Linked DNA regions of Alligator mississippiensis. The protein of the gene in region 2 interacts with the protein of the main gene of each other region in a pairwise test. Links are inferred from orthologs where the notes say so. Each region holds a gene or a part of one and is shown on either strand. Other genes may lie near its edges.

The links. The genes of interacting proteins can lie anywhere in the genome.
Region 1: the proteins of KLC3 (region 2) and TSNAX interact in binary tests that used the Homo sapiens proteins (3 or more experiments, as listed by UniProt). The two-hybrid records come from large-scale screens. The link is inferred for Alligator mississippiensis from reciprocal best matches to the Homo sapiens genes KLC3 and TSNAX.

What each region holds. Positions count from the first base shown.
Region 1 is NC_081824.1:149,870,833-149,878,465, forward strand, and holds the start of TSNAX (translin-associated protein X), read left to right. Parts: upstream 1-4,607; 5' UTR 4,608-4,653; coding exon 4,654-4,669; intron 4,670-5,753; exon of another isoform or gene 5,754-5,769; intron 5,770-7,633.
Region 2 is NC_081838.1:168,963-176,746, reverse strand, and holds the start of KLC3 (kinesin light chain 3), read right to left. Parts: upstream 3,020-7,784; 5' UTR 2,777-3,019; coding exon 2,063-2,776; intron 1,912-2,062; coding exon 1,684-1,911; intron 1,518-1,683; coding exon 1,442-1,517; intron 1,263-1,441; coding exon 1,049-1,262; intron 883-1,048; coding exon 795-882; intron 530-794; coding exon 428-529; intron 347-427; coding exon 173-346; intron 38-172; coding exon 1-37. UniProt on the Homo sapiens protein: Kinesin is a microtubule-associated force-producing protein that may play a role in organelle transport. Plays a role during spermiogenesis in the development of the sperm tail midpiece and in the normal function of spermatozoa.

The sequences.
Region 1 (7,633 bases), on a different chromosome or scaffold from region 2:
AGGGCAAGGGCGGGCTGTCGCTGCAGACTTTGCCCTGAGTGCCAAACTTCCTTGCCAGGGCACTGAAACAGGGTAACGTTGTACCAGATCCTCTCCTTACAGCTCAGCTGGTCTTAAGGTAACCAGTAATGACCCTGTGAGTTTATTACATTCATAATAAAGGAAGGAGGAAGAAGAGAGGCAAAGGGAGATGAAGAGAAGAGGTAGACTGAGAAAAGCATGAGTGACTGAGACAGAGGGAATGCCCCTGGAAGAAGGTCGGTCAGCAGCCAATCCCTAGAGGAAAAAAAAAAGTATTCAGCATTTAAGTGGAAGAAGGCAGAGTCTGATGACATTGCCCATGCTGTGAAAGTTGCTATTTCCAGAAGAAAAATCTCCACTCCTGGGACTTGTTGACACCTGCCTCTGCTCCCCACAGCTTCTGTATCTAAAGGGAAAAAGCTGCCTGGAGCTTTGTGACCCTAGGGGGTGCTTTCAGAATGGGGCTTTCCCAATTTCCTCTGAGGATGGAGCTCAGTAGGCACCAGTGGAACCTTATCCACCATGTCCCAATTTATTGTACACTTCCTCAAGCTCCTGCCAAGCTTTTTTCCTGGGCTTCACTCTAACAGCATTTTGGGTGTACAGGAGTGCAGGTGTGATTATTGTAATGAGTGCTCAGGTGCAGGGATATGGGTTTTTCGGACTGGTCTGTTTTGAAAGCGTTCTGAGTTGGTGTGTGTGTGTGTGTATACATACATACATATATATATATGTGTGTGTGTGTGTGTATATTTCCCAAAAAAACCCAACTTTATAGTCGGCTACTAGAGAAGTGTGTTTGGGAGGTGGCCTTTTGGCTCATATCAAGTGTAGGGGGCATCCAGATCCCAAGACCTCTGGGCTTGGGCCTGCATGTTGGATGCCTGCCAATGGATTTAGGAGTAGCTGAAGTCCCAGAGTGAGAGCCTAGGCTGGAGGATGCTAGCCAGTTGTAGCGCCATGCATGGTGTTTAGAATGATTACGTTCTGCCTGATCGATTGATATGGTTTTTGGAATGCTTGAGTTCTGTCCAATCAATATGATTTGGCTGATTTGACCTGGAACACAAAATGTATATTTTAAAAAATCCTGTTTTTTTTTCCTTCAGCCCTTGGGTCCAAGTGAGAGGGGGTTGCTTAGAACCAGGTAGTGGCCTGGGGAGCTGCCACAGAGGGGGTTCCCTTGCCAGTCTGGTTTGGGAAACCCACTTGTCTGGCTAGTTCTGCCACAGTAATCTGAATTATGTTGATAGCGAGGAACATCTGTTTTCAATATTATGTTAAAACACAGATTAGAATTACAGTAATAACAAACAATTAGTTTTTGTTAACAGGGACTTGCATGTAAAAGTTGCGCAATGTCATATGACTCCATAGCTCATACGCTTTTGACAATGAAACAAGGAACCCAGTCATGGGAAGCATAACACAAGTCTTCCTGCCTTGATTAAAATCTCAGGCCATATAGCAGATAAATATGTGTTTTAGCATTGCCATTTTTATTATTTTAGGATAAATGCATGAGTCATGCCCTCCATCTACTAGGTATCACAAAGCTGCAGCATATCACATTTCAAAACACTGCATTATGGGAATATGAGTTTATTTTAAAGGTGCAGATAGTTATTTCTGCATATGTGAATATCCTCCTAGTCTAGTGGATCAACCTGACGCACCTAGAAAATATGGAGTGGGTGAGAATCTTATTTTCTGAGATGAACCTAAAAAATACGTAGTGGGCAAGAATCCTATTTTTATAAAATATATTGTAGTATTTCAAGACTATTGGCACAAAAGGCACCGTGCTAACAATGGGTGGATCAGTCATCTGTATGCACACTTGTCATCATACACTCCTGTTCCTGCTTTTGCTGGAACTTTATCCATACTATAAAATTTGAGCAGTGTAAAGCTGATGGGGCAGGAGTGGTGGCATGTAACTGCTACTGATGTTTTTCCCCAGTAAAACAGGGAAAGAGGTAGGGCTGCTTAGAGAGATTGGGATGCCCTTAATGGTACCTACTCAGCAACAGCAAGTTGAAGGTGACCAAAGGTAGTGAAATGAAGAAGGACTGGTGTTACTGGTCTCTCTTGTCAGGATGGTGGTGATGCAGAGGGTGGGGAGACATGGAGACCAGTATGTCATCAGTGGCTCTTGTGCTAGTGCAGCTCCTGCATTACAATGACTTAATTGCTTTTTTCCATATCTCAGTGTTGTCCCAATCAAAACGCTGCAGCAGAAACTTCCCTGAGATTGACAGAAAGGTAAATCCTCTCAAATTGTCCATGGGGTGAATGGAACTCCAACCAGCTTTTCTGTCAGAGCCATCAAGGTATAATCCTCTGTGAAGTTGATGAGGCAGCCTGGGGAAAGCATAGGTGAAACCAGTGAGGCAGAGAGAGGTGGCCGGTTACCAGAATATATGAATTCCAGATATGCAGGATGTGCGTCCTTTAACAGGACAGGAGGGATTGTTGAGCTCATTTGTACACATTTTTATTACTTTGTGTACATTAAACAACTTGAGGGGAGGAAGGATGGTATAGCAGATAGGACATTGTACTATGGCTTCAATGCTTGGCTCAGCCACAGGTCTCCTGTGTGAATTTGGGCAAACCACTTGTTTAATGCTATGCCTCGGCTTCCCAACTGTAGAATGGGGTTCGGATACATTCCTGATAAACGCTCAGATACTGCATTGATGAAGGTCAGATAGAAAAATAACGGCCATCACGCAGAGGTCCAGGCTTAAACCCGGAGGTTCCTGCCTAGAGGACCTTATGGCTTCACTCGGGGTCAAACTGATTGCCATGGTTGGGGTCAAGAAGGAATTTCACCCCATGGTCAGGTAAGTATGGACTGTGGGGAGGTTTTGCCTTCCTCTCTAGAGCGGGGGCCCTCTTCCTGGGATCTTCCAAGTGTATATTAACAACCCTTGCAGTTGCAGGATGTTGGCTGCCATGGTCCCCCTGTGTTACCTGTGGCAGATAAAGGTGCTGTATTATGGTTGACTGTAGTTTTACTGAGAGGTCAGGCCAGTGGCTCTCAGCCTTTCTGGACTGGAGGCAGCCCTCCATAACTTTTGTGAACTGAGCGACACCCATTTTCAAAAACTAATGTACAGATTATAGCGCTTACCTCCTTATGCAGGGGCTGAGCAGTAGGGGTGGGAGATTGTCCAGACAGGGACACACTTGAGCCTGGCTTATTTCCTCATACCTAGTGGCACCCTGCAAAAGATCTGGTGGCACCCCAGGGTGTCCCAGCACCCTGGCTGAGAATCATGGGGTTAGACGATAGACTTGTTTTTGGGATGGTTTGGCTAGGAACGATCCTGCCTCAGGCAGGGGGTTGGATTAGATCAAGTGTTTCATGGGTCATAACCCAAAAATGGGTCACAAGAATATATGAAAGGGTCATGAACAAACTTAAAAAAAAAAAAATTGATCAACAAACTTTAAAAATGGATTGTCTTTTAAAGGAGAAAAAATGTGGGAAACGACGGCATTTCCCTTGCAGGCTGGCAGAGCTCCAGTCTGTGAGGGGCTGCTTGAGGTTGCCACTGGCCCCAAACACTGTGGGGATCGGGCCTGGTGGCAGTGGGTTGGGGGTGAGAGGCACTGGGTTGGGACTGGCCATCGATGTTTACAAATGGGTCCTGGTATAAAAAAAAATCCAGAACCACTGGACTAGATGCCCTTGGGAGGTCCCTTCCTGCTTTATTTCGCTAATACTTCATGTCAGTTTCAGGACTCCTATTGTATCATGCCTGCCTCTCTCTTCCCAGACATTTTATAGTTCTTAATGTGGTTGCTCCCTTGAAATCAAGTCAGATAACAATAATCATAATAATCACATTAATAAAATAACCATCATTATTGCCACAATTATCACACTAATAAAATAATAATCATTATCACCATAATAATCACAATAATAAAATAATCATAATAATCACAATAATACTGATAATAAATCATCATAATAATCACAATATAATACATAATAATAAAAAATAGCTATCACGATAATCACAAGGATAAAATAATCATCATCATTATCATATTATGAATTATAATTCATAAGCTGAGAAAAAGCTAATTTTGAACGAGTGGGTGAAGGTGGAGCATTTGCTGCGGTGGGAGGACGCATGTTTGTCCCATAGCTAAAGCACCGCAGGAGCAACGGGACAGACGCTGTCTAGGCAGCCACCGCCGAGGCGAGCGGGAGCAGCTCAGGGCCGCACACTCCAGGCACTCCCAGCTTCGCCCACTGCAGCGGCACCTCCCCCTCCCAGAACTATAGTCCCCATGATGCAAAGCGCCGCCGCGGGGCCTGTAGAGAGCTGGGTTCCTGACTTGACCCCTCTCTAAGCTGCCCTACAAAATGCCTGTCCAGAAACAGTGACGTTTCCCAGGGCACACCGCCTTGGGCGGACGAGACAGCCCCTGCCTTCCGGGCAGCTGCTCTCTGAGCGGCCCATGGGCTCCGGGCCCGTTCCGTTTGGGCAGCGCGCCTCTTGGCCTGTCCTCAGGCGCTTGCGTGGACGTCTCGTTAGGGCTGAGGGGAGGGGAGAACTCGGAGGGGGCGGGGCCTGGCGCGCGCGGGCTGCGGAGCGGAGCGGAGCTACCATGAGCGGCAAGGAAGGTGACTGGCGCGCCCCTCCTCCACCCCACGGAACGTTGGGGCGGAGGCGACGTCACGCGGGAGGGGAGGGGGCTGCCTCGCGCGGGCCACCTGGCGGCCCCCGACTCTGGGGACACCTGCCACACGGGCCCGAGCTGTGACGTCGGCAACGGCCGCTCTCTGCAGGCGCGTTCGCGGCACATGGCAGCGCCCACGTCGTGGCCCTTTGTGACGTCCGCGAGGCGGCCAGGCTCCTAACCCAACCCCTACCCCCAGCCCGGCAGCCTGCGTTGCCTGGAGACGGGGGGGCCGGCTCCCATCTAGGCCCAGCCCTGCCTGAGGCAGGAGCACCGTTGGCCAGGCCAGTGGGGTGCAAGCAGTGTGGCCAGGGCTGCCATCATTGTCTTGCTTGTGCGAGGATGTCAACGCTTTTGTGATGCACCATGCACGTGCAATCATTTTTCAGGCAACTCATTGATGTGGCACATGACCCAAGTGCCTCTCAGGGAGGCTTAATCGGCTTTTGGGTCTGCTGTCAGCGCTCCCTTATGACCAGGGAGCCTAGTTTTCTCTGAAAAAAAAAAGAAAAAAGGAAAAATCCCCAATTTTCGGTGTAAAAAAAGTAACTTAAAATGCACGTTTCCACCATTAAAATGAAACACCAGTAGTCAGTCTGTCTGTCTGTCTATCTATCTAGTGGCGTTTCATTTTAATCATGGGGAAATGTGGATTTTGGGTTACTTTTTTAAAACTGAAAATTGGGGATTTTTTTTTTAATCAGAGAAAAGCAGGCTTCTTTTATTGCTAGCCTTGCAATAAAGGCTTCAACTTGGATGACCCATTCTCACTTGCTCACTGTCGACTTAGTGAGCAGTATAAATAAGAAAAAGACTAATTAACATATTTTTTCAGCATAGGATATTTTTTTCAGCAGATACCATCATTTTGAGCTTCCAGTATGATGATTTCATATTTAAGACCTGGCAACTCTGGCTGAAAGGGACCTCCACAGGGCATCTAGTCCAACCACCTGCCTGAGACAGGACTATCCCTATCCAAACCATCCTGTACAACCCTTCATCTAAACCAGTGTTTCTCAAACTGTGGGTTGTGACCCCAAAGTGAGTCACAAGAATATATGAAAGGGTTGTGAACAAACTTTAAAAATGAAAGGAGATGAACATGGGAAACTGCGGCTTTTCCCTTGCAGGCTGGCAGAGCTCTGGCCCTGGGCTGCCTTCTGCCTGGTGTTTAGAGGCCCCTCTTGTCGCTAAAGCATGTCATGAACTCTTGTTTGTGGGGGTTGTGGAGGGGAAGGGCAGCATTTCACTTCCAACTAGGTGAATGGCACGGGGCCGCTCCATGACATGGATCGGGGCCCACGCCACCTCCGTCTTTCAGGTTTAAGCCCCCGGCCACCACACTGCCCCCACCTGACTGGAATCCGAGTCCCTGCCCACCCCCCTATGTGCCACAAATGGGCCCTGCACTCCATATTTAGGGCTTCCCACATCCCACAGGCTGGATGGCATGGCATGGAGGGGACTGGATCTTGCTCACAGGCTGGTGGCTGAGCAGATGAAGGTGTCCATCCTACAGAGCAGAGCATCTCCTTTCCTGCCCTGTGTTGAAGGGGTTGTGCCTGTGGCCAAGTTCAGATGTTGCAGGTGTAATGGCACCTTGAGCTCAGGCCCAGACAGAGACGGCAAAGTGCTGGCTTTTAGCAGTGGCGACGCATAGGGGGTGTATGAGTACCCCGAGAGCACCAGTGCACCCCTGGCTGGCTGCGCTTGCCGCTTAGGCAATGGGCAGGGGGGACAGGCAGGAGTGCTGATGCCCCCCCCCTGCAAGCGCTAGCCAGGGAGTGGGAGTGCTGTGGCGCTCTCAGAAGTGGCTGCAGCAATCGGCCACCTTGCGATTGGCTGCGGGGGACACCCCCCCCCATCAGTGAGATTGGCCATGGGGGGACTCCCCCTCAGTGGCTGACTGGTTGCTGGGGGAGAGGGGGGCACATCCCCCCCGACTAAGGCAGCACCAGTCACCCATGGCTCTTAGCTTGCCCTTTTTCAATGTAACTTGGCCTGCTTTCATTTCTGATTTGGGAACCGTAAGGATAGACAGTAAAAATAAACAAAATCAATATGTGAGTTGGGATAATATTAAACAGATAAATTAAAATGTGTGAAGTGTACCCTTCTTTTGTAGCTCTAAAGTTGTTTCCTTTAAAAGGAAAACTTTAGCTGGAGTCTCCACCCCCCATGTCAGTATAACTTATTAGAGTAGGTGCAGCATTAGTACCTAGGATAGCTTTGTGCTTCACATCTTCCTGTCTGACAAGGGAACGGGGTATTGTGACGGAGGAACAAATGCAAATGAAGATTATATGAGTTTACATAGGCTTATAAGTGGAAGCAGGGGAAGGCAAGAGGATTAAACACCACAGGAGTGCATGTCAAAGTTAAAATACAAGTTGTAAGAAATTGGTTGAGAGAGGATTGTAAAGAGAAAAAGTGACACCATTTTGTGCAGAGCAAGAGACCTGGAAGTTCAGTGTTAGGGAACAGTATAACAGGGAAAACATTACACCAGTGAGTGGGAAGGGGAGACGAGGACAAATGTGCTCGTCAGAGCATGGGGAGCTGAGAGGGGGCATAATAAGAAATAAAAATGAATACCATTAATCAGTAACAGTTACTTACATTGCTTCTTTGGCTGGGTCTCCTCTGAAGACCAGAGTCTTATGGGTATGCCAATGAGATGCTTGTAACTACAGTAATAGGGTTATTTTTATTTGAAAGGTCTCTTTACAAACTGTGGGTCCAATTCTGTAGTCTTTTGTTCACACAAGGCGTGACATTGACTTCAGTGGGGTTAAGAGTTTGCAGGGTTAGGCCTTATAAACGTATAGCACTAAACAAATTCAGCTAACTGTTTGTAGAAGGGAAATTTTGTGAAGGGACCCAAAGCAACTTTCCACTTCTCTGG
Region 2 (7,784 bases):
CCTCCCGGTACTTGCCCTGCTTCAGGTATGAGGAGGCCTGTGGGAGGGGCGAAGAGGGCAGGGCACAGTGAGGGGGGCAAAACTGCCCCCTTAACCCTCTGCATGCCAGAGCCATCCCCTCCCCCCCCCACCATTAACCCATCTGCACCGGTGCCCCCCGAAGCCCAGGCACCAGGTTGTTCTTGGTCTTGGCCACGCTGGGGTCACGGGGGCCGAGTCGGGCCTGGTAGATGCGCAGGGCACGGGCGTAGTACTGCTCCACTGCTGCGAACTTGCCCTGGTTCTGGCACAGCAGCGCCAGGTTGTTGAGCTGCTTGGCCACATCAGGGTGGTCAGTGCCCAGGACCTGCAGCACGGAGTGGGGGGAAGAGTCAGGCTCTGCCCTGCATCGCGCGGGGGAGTGGGGGCACAGGTTGGAGGGCAGCACCTTCTCACGGATCTCCAGTGCCCGCTGGCACAGCGGCTCAGCCTCCTTGTACCGGCCACGCTTGCCGTACAGCACTGCCAGGTTGTTCAGCGTGGCAGCCACCTGTGAGGGAGAGGGGGCTCAGAGCCCAGCTCTGTGCCCACCCCCCCCCACCCCATCTACGCAGCCCCATGCAGGGTGGGGGCAGGAGCCAGTGGGGGGGGGGGGGAGAGCTACTCCAGTCCCATGGGGAGGGGGCAGGGCCAAGGGACCTCCCCTTGGCACATGCTGGTGCCCAGCCCTGGCCTGCCTCCCTGGGGCCGGACTTGGGGGTGTGGGTCAGGCCCTGAAGCCCCTCACAGGGAACCCCTTCCCCTGCCCCGCTCACGGCTGGGTGCTCGGCGCCCAGGGTCTGCTCCCGGATGTCCAGCGCATCATTCAGCAGCTCCGTGGCCTCCTTGTACTTGTTCTGGTCCCTGGCAGACGGGCAGAGCTGTGTCCCAGGGCGTGCTGGCTGGGGTCCCGCGTGCCCAGAGGTGGCCAGTTGGGATCCCGTGTGCCCCAGGCAGGGACTGGCCAGGGTCCCATGTGCCCCGGGAAGGGGCCAGCCAGGGTCCCACATGCTAGCTGGGGGGGCCTCACCGGTAGACGAGGGCCAGGATGTTAAGCATGGTGGCCACGTCGGGGTGGTTGTGGCCTGAGCTCTTCTCCAGGTCCTCCAGTGCCTGCTTGCAGAGAGGCACAGCCACCTCGTAGCGACCCTGGGCTGCGTACTGGATCACCAGGTTGTGCAGTGTCCGCAGCCGCGCCGGGATCTCGTAACCACCTGGCTGGGCTGCGTTCCCCGCCACACCATCTTGGGGGGTGACAGGCATCAGCTGGGGGCAGTTGCTCCCGGCCCCCCCCAGCCAGCAGCCAAGGGCAGATCTGGTGCTGGGGCGGGGGCAGGATGGATGGGGAGCCCTACCCCCCCCAACACTGTCCCCCGCAACACTGCCCCCAGCTTAAGCCCCCGCGCCAGCCGCCCGCACACACCCGGCCGCGTTTCCTCATCGCCTGTGAAGAGCCCGCTTAGCCCGTCATCACGCTCTGGTGCCTCGTCCTTCTCCAGCTGGGGGCACAGTGGGGCCATGAAGCAGCGGGGACCTCCCTATGCACCTGCCCCATAGGGCTGCTCTGTGTCCCTGAGCCAGGCCCTGTGCTCCAGCACTGGGACAGGGAGGTCAGGTTCTAGCCTGTGTGGGGTTCGGGGCATGGGCAGGTCCCAGTGCTCTCACCAGCTCGTCACGGCCCTCGTACTGCTTGAGCTGGTTCAGGAACTCGAGGTGCCGCTTCTCCTCCTCCAGCTGGGCCACGGCCTCCTGGCTCTGCTGCAGGCGCTGCTGGGTGCCCGCCAGCTCCTCCCACAGCCACTGGTTCTCCTGGCCCAGCCGCTTGGCCTGAGCCCGCAGCTTCTGCTTCTCTGCCTCCAGCGCCCCGACATGGGACGACAGTGCCAGCAGGAGCTGTGAGGACAGGGGTCAGTGGGGTCGGCTGTGCCCCCTCCCGCCAGCTCCTACCCCCTCCCCAGCTCTGACTCCCCCAAGCTCCAGGCTGGGGCTGAAGCAACCCCAAGGCCCCCCCAGCTCCTACCCCTGTGCCCTGGCAGCCCCACACCTGCGCCTCCCCGAGCCCCAGCTCGATGCCCTCCAAGATCCTGCAGACGAGCTCGTGCTTCTCCTCCAGTAGCTCCAGGGCCCAGTCCCCGGCAGACGGGGGTTCCAGCTCCGTCCCAGGCGCGGCATCGGGACAGCAGTGCAGGCTGCCCTGCAGCTGCAGCAGGATGGCACAGTTCTCACTGCGCAGTGCTTCCAGCCCCTTCACCACCTGCCGTGTGCTGGCCACGATGTCGTCCGCTGTTGGCCGGCCCCCAGTGCCCTCACCCAGCCCTGCCACCACCGACATGGTGTCGCCTGCCTGCCCACCTGCTGAAGCAACACAGTCCTCAGCACCAGGCCAAGGGGCAGGTGGGGGTAGCAGGGCAGGGACACGAAGGCGCTGGCAAGTCCCTGTGGGTGGGCACAGGCGGGGCGTGGGAGCTCCATGGCCCGGGCGGCACCAGACACAGCCCCAGCCAGAGGCACAGATGGGCCCCAGCTTGCCCTGCGCAGGGTGGAGCACGGGAACTGGTCCTGTCAGCTGGTGCCCAGGGAGTGCGTCTGCACTCGCTGGCCCACAGCACACATGTGAGCAAGCCCACGCGTGCACAGCTGCAGGCACGGAGCAAAGCACCGCTTGCCCCCAGACGGGGGTCCCCAGAGCCTGGCCACGGCGTGCAGCCTGGGCACGGGGGCCAAGCCATGGGGCCTGCCCAGGACCCAGCCAGGGCATCAGTGCACCTGTGCACCATCCTGCCACAGCACGGAGCCCTGCATGGGGCCACAGCCCATAGCCCGGGCACGGGTACGGGGGCCCATGACCCTGCCAGGCGCTGGGGCATGGCCCTGCAGCCTGGGCACGGAGCCTACCCCGCGGGTCCCTGCCAGGGCAGCGCTGCACCGGCACGGACCTGCCCCGGGGCACAGCCCGGGCACGGGGGCCCGAGCCTCGGGGCCCGCCCGGGACCAGCCATGACCCCCGCACACACCTGCCCGGCCGCGCCGCGCCGCGCTACAGCATCCCCGCCGCCCCGCTCACCTGCCGCTGGGGGCGGTCCCACAATGCACCGCGCCCCGCCCCCCGGGGCCGTCGTGGGCGGGGCACGCCTCGCCCAGCCCCCGCCGCCCTCCACCCCCCGGATCGGGGCCGGCCCCGCCCAGCGCTGGACAGCGGCCGCGGCCGTGCGGACCCTGCGGAGCGGGGCTGAACCCGGCGGCCCCCGGTCCGCCCCGCCCCGCCCCGCCGGGGTCCCGCAGCCCCCGTCCCGGGTCGGCCCTCCCGCTTCTGCATCTCCGTCGGGGGAGCGGGGCCGCGCCTGGCAGCCGGGCCTCGGGGTAGGCTCCTACGCCCGCCGGTGGCATCCCCTGAAGGGCCCCGATCCTCCCTCCGCCCCCGAATCTGCAGCCGCGGCCCAGGCTCTTGCAAGCGGGGCCCTGCCCGGTGCCTCAGTTTCCCTGGAAGCAGGCCCCTGGCAGTGGCTCCCGCCAGCCCTTCCATGCGGGCACGGAGCCGCCCTGGGCCCGGAAGGCGGGAGCCGCGGGGCCAGAGCCGAGCCGAGCCGAGCAGGCCGGGCCCCCGAGCCAGGTTCCCCGAGCGCCCGGCCCGGCCCGGCCCGGCCCGGCCCGGCCCGGCCCGGGAGAGGTGACACCGAGTCCCGCAGCGCCGCCGCCTCTGCACGCCCCGCCCCTCCGGGGCCGCCAGGGGGCAGCGCCGAGCAGCCGGGACCGCAGGAGTGTGCTCATGCATGGTGGCGTGTGTGCGCGCACGTGTGTATGTTGTCAGGTATCCGGATTGTAGCCCTATTGGTCTGAAGGAAAACGCAGTCGGGACTCGTAGTAGAGATAGTATCTTGTATTAGACCAACTACGTTTTTGCAACAAAAGAAGTTCTTTAATTGCAAGTTTTCAGGCGCAAACACCCTTGATGAGGCATTGGAGAAAAGATTGTGAAAGTTCTCCTGGGTCGAAATGAAAGTTCATATTTCATAGGATTTCACAGAGGAGCCAATAGATGGACTACTCCTCGCATGTGTGTTTGCTTGTGTATGCATTTGTCTTTGGGTTTGTGTGTTTGCTTGTGTATGCATTTGTCTTTGGGTTTGTGTGTTTGCATGTGTGCCTGTTTGCACGTATCTGTGTGTGCGCTTTCTTGTGAGTGCATGTGTGCTTGTGTGTGTGAGTGTGCATGTGTATGAGTGCATGTGCACATGGTTGTGCCCCCCCCCCCCCCACTCAGCACTGCCTTAGGCCACTCCCAGGCCCTCCTGTGCCCCCTGCAGAGAGGCAGCCCCCTTTAGCCCCCTCCTCCCCAGGCTCAGCTGTCCCCAGACCCAGCAGGGCCTGGCAGTCTGAAAGCCCTTGCAGGACAGCACAGCTGCCCCAGCTCAGCACAGACAGTGGCTGCACCAGGGCAGAGCTGCCTCTGGCTGTTGGGCTCAGCCCCACTCCCTGTGGCAGCTGGAGATGCCCCTAGGCTCCTCAGGGCCCTTCCCTCCCTGGGACCAGGCTTTGGCATTGCTGGGCTGGCTGGGGGCACAGGTGGCACAATGGCTCCCATGGGTCCAGCTGAGGAGAACAGAGAACTGGGCCAGCACTGGCAGGGCTTGGCCCAGTGGGGACAGGCCATAATTACCGAGCACAGCGGTAATCACAGGCACCAGCTGGGGCTGCGGTAATTAGTGCTTGCTCTGTGCCTCCCAGGGCCTGCATTGGACCTTCAGGGTGGGAGAGCCAGCAGCAGGGGAAGGGGCAGGTCCTGAGAACAGGGGCAGCAGCTGCTGGTGGGGCTGGGCTGGGGAGTCAGGGCAGGTGTCCCAGGGCAGCCCAGGGGAAGCTGGGAGGAGACACCTCCTCCTCCACCTCCTGCTGAAGTGCCCAGGCCATGGCCCAACGCTGGAGCTGCTGTGGCCCAGCTGGGTGCAGGCAGGCACTGAGCGAGGGGTCGGGCGCCAGGATGGGCCTCTTGGCGCCGTGGGCCTGTTCAGGCCAGGCCAGCAGTGCAGATACAGGCACTGTGGGAAACCCGACCTGCCTGCCCAGCTGGCTCTAAAAATACTGGCTCACCCGCCCTCCCCCCCCCCCCCCGACCGGCCCAGCCTGCTGGGATTGAATTCTCATGATCCAGCGGATCAGCTCAGAGGTCATTGCACAGGGCACCCCTACCAGGACTGCCTGGGGTGGGGGGTTCCCCCCAGGCCCAGCACCAGCTCCCCCAGCCTTGCGATGCCCCAGGGCCCAGCACAGCTGAGGGGGCAGGGTGGAGGTATGTGGGCAGGTCACTGCAGGCTCTTGCCATGGGCATGTGCATGTGCAGGCATGTGCATGAAGAAATGCAGAGCCAATTTCTGCCATCACACTTGCCTCAGTTTCCATGAGCAGACAGTGTAGGAGGGGAACATGGTGAACACCCCCTGGCCTGGAAGTGGGGTGGGGGGAGGGGTGATGATGGCAATATGGGTCCCTTGAAGGCTGGTGCAGCAGGGGGTTCAACATAGATCTGGGCACAGGCTGCTGTGACCTCCCCACCCCAACGTGTTTGGCAGGTGGGGAGTGGGCACAGGGCCAAGAGCACCTGGGCCCTGGGGCATAGAATGATGGGGCTGCAGGCCTTGCCCCACAATGCCCCCTTCCCCTGTGGTGCCTCTAGTCCCCCAGGGAGATCCTGGTTGGCCCCCAGTCAGGTGGGTCCTGCTATTTTGAGCCAGTGCCGAGCTGGTTTAGTGACTGTCGTACATGCTGCAGCCTATTCCTGGAGCTCAGCCCTTGCCCTGGGGCTGGAAGACCCCCAGATAGCCTGCTGGATTAGCTTGCCCACAGCTGCCCTGAGCACTCCTGGAGGAGCATGGGCTAGTGCCTGCCAGGCTGTGCTGTGGCTGCCCCAGGCTGGGGGGCTCCAACTTTCAGCAGGGTGCCAGGTGGTCCCATGTCCCACTCCCCCCCCCACACACACACACATCCGGCGGGGTCTCAGCACCTCCGGGGGACAGCAGGACCCAGCTCCAACCAGCTGGCTCCTGCCCTGCTGCTAATTTTGGCCCTGCCTGTGGCCACCTGCCTGTGCCGTGATATTTCCAGCCAAGATCACGCCTGGCCTTGTGATGCCCACGGCAAGGTGACCTCCAGACAGGGGCGCCCAGCTGGGGGTGCTTTGGGCCTGTGCCCGAGGCAGGGGCTGGCTGAGGTGGTGCCAGGTCCTGGCCAGGGGCAGGTGCCAGCCAGCCCGCACCCCACTCCCCTCCACACACACACATGCACATACTGTGGCTCTTCTCCAAGGCCTTGACTGGCATGGCCTGCTCCCCGGGTGCCGGGACATGCTACACACTGCATGTAGCCCCTGCGTACTCCACATGTGGGCCCTACAGATGTGCACAAGACAGGGGACACCAGTGGACGCAGCTGGGTGCCTGGGCAGGGTGGGAGCAGTAGGATTTAGGTCCTCAGTGTGTCAGGGTCACAGCCCCTTCCAGGCCTTACATGCAGGCCCCTGGATACATGTACAAACCCCAGCTTGTGCTTGTGCACCCCCCCAGCCAGTGGAGCCTGGCAGGAGCCCCAGCCTGAGCAGGGAGATCCCCCCAGAGCTGCCTGCAGGGCTGGGCTGAAACCTGATCTCCCGGCCCAGCATACGCAGGCGGGGCCCGCACCCCTCTGCACAGCTGCTGTCCCTGCACCTGCTGCCTCCACCCCCGTCCACCCCAGGGGCCCTTGAGCAGATCCCTGGGCAAGATCCAGTCCTGTTCCAGCCCCCAGAGCCAGCAGGGAGCTGGAGTGAGGCAGGGTGCCCCGTGGGCACTGCCAGCCCAGCCACAGTCCCAGGTGCCCGCAGGAAGGGCACACAGCAGGCAATCAATTGCCCAGAGGGGGGCACATGGGGGTCTTAGCAGTGCCCCTGGGACCAGCCCCTTCTGGGGAGCCTGCAGGGTCCGGCTCAGCCTGACCCCCAGCATTCCTGTCTCCCAGCCGTGGTGCCAGGGGCCAGAGCTCAGGTTACGCTGATGTGTCAAACTCCGGTGTTTGGCACAGCCCCGAGCCTGCGCCCATCCCATGCACTGGGCACTCTCCGGGCAAGGCCTCAGCCCTGCACCCCCAGCACAGAGCCCCTGCTGCCCCCCTGTCCTCGGTCTACTCCAGTGCCCACTGTGACCTCATCCCTTAACGCTTCTTCCCCGAGCCCCACTCCCTGCCAGGGGTCATTGTGCCTTTTGCACCTGGGAGCTGCCCAAGCCACTGCTCCCCCAAGGGCACTGGGGATGTCCCGACACCAACCAGGCCCTGAGGCCCGAGACCAGTCTCAGCACCCTCCCAGGCTGATGCCCACCACCAGACTCTGTGGGGTGGACGTGAGCTGGGCCCCAGGACTGTTCCCCCCCATAAATCATGGTGCCCTGCAGCTGCTGGCCCCTTCCTGCTCTGGGGTTGGATCCCTGGAAACACGATCTCAGCTGCTCTGCTCTGGTGCCAGCAAGGGCCCGGACAGGCTGGGTTGCTTGGGTGGGGGCCAGGGCACTGTGAGCCAGCACCGCATTGCTGCCTATATAAAGTGCTGGGCCGTCGGCCATGGGGGCGAGGGGCGGGTGGCTGGGGGGGTGAGGGGGAGCAGCGTCATGTGCTCCCATCCCAGCCAGGCCTTGCTCAGCACCCTCAGGCTGGTACCTGAGGGGATGGGCTGGTGCCAGCACTGGGGACCGCCCCCTGGCAGGGCAGGGCAGGGCAGCCGGGCACGGTCCCGGGGTTCCCAT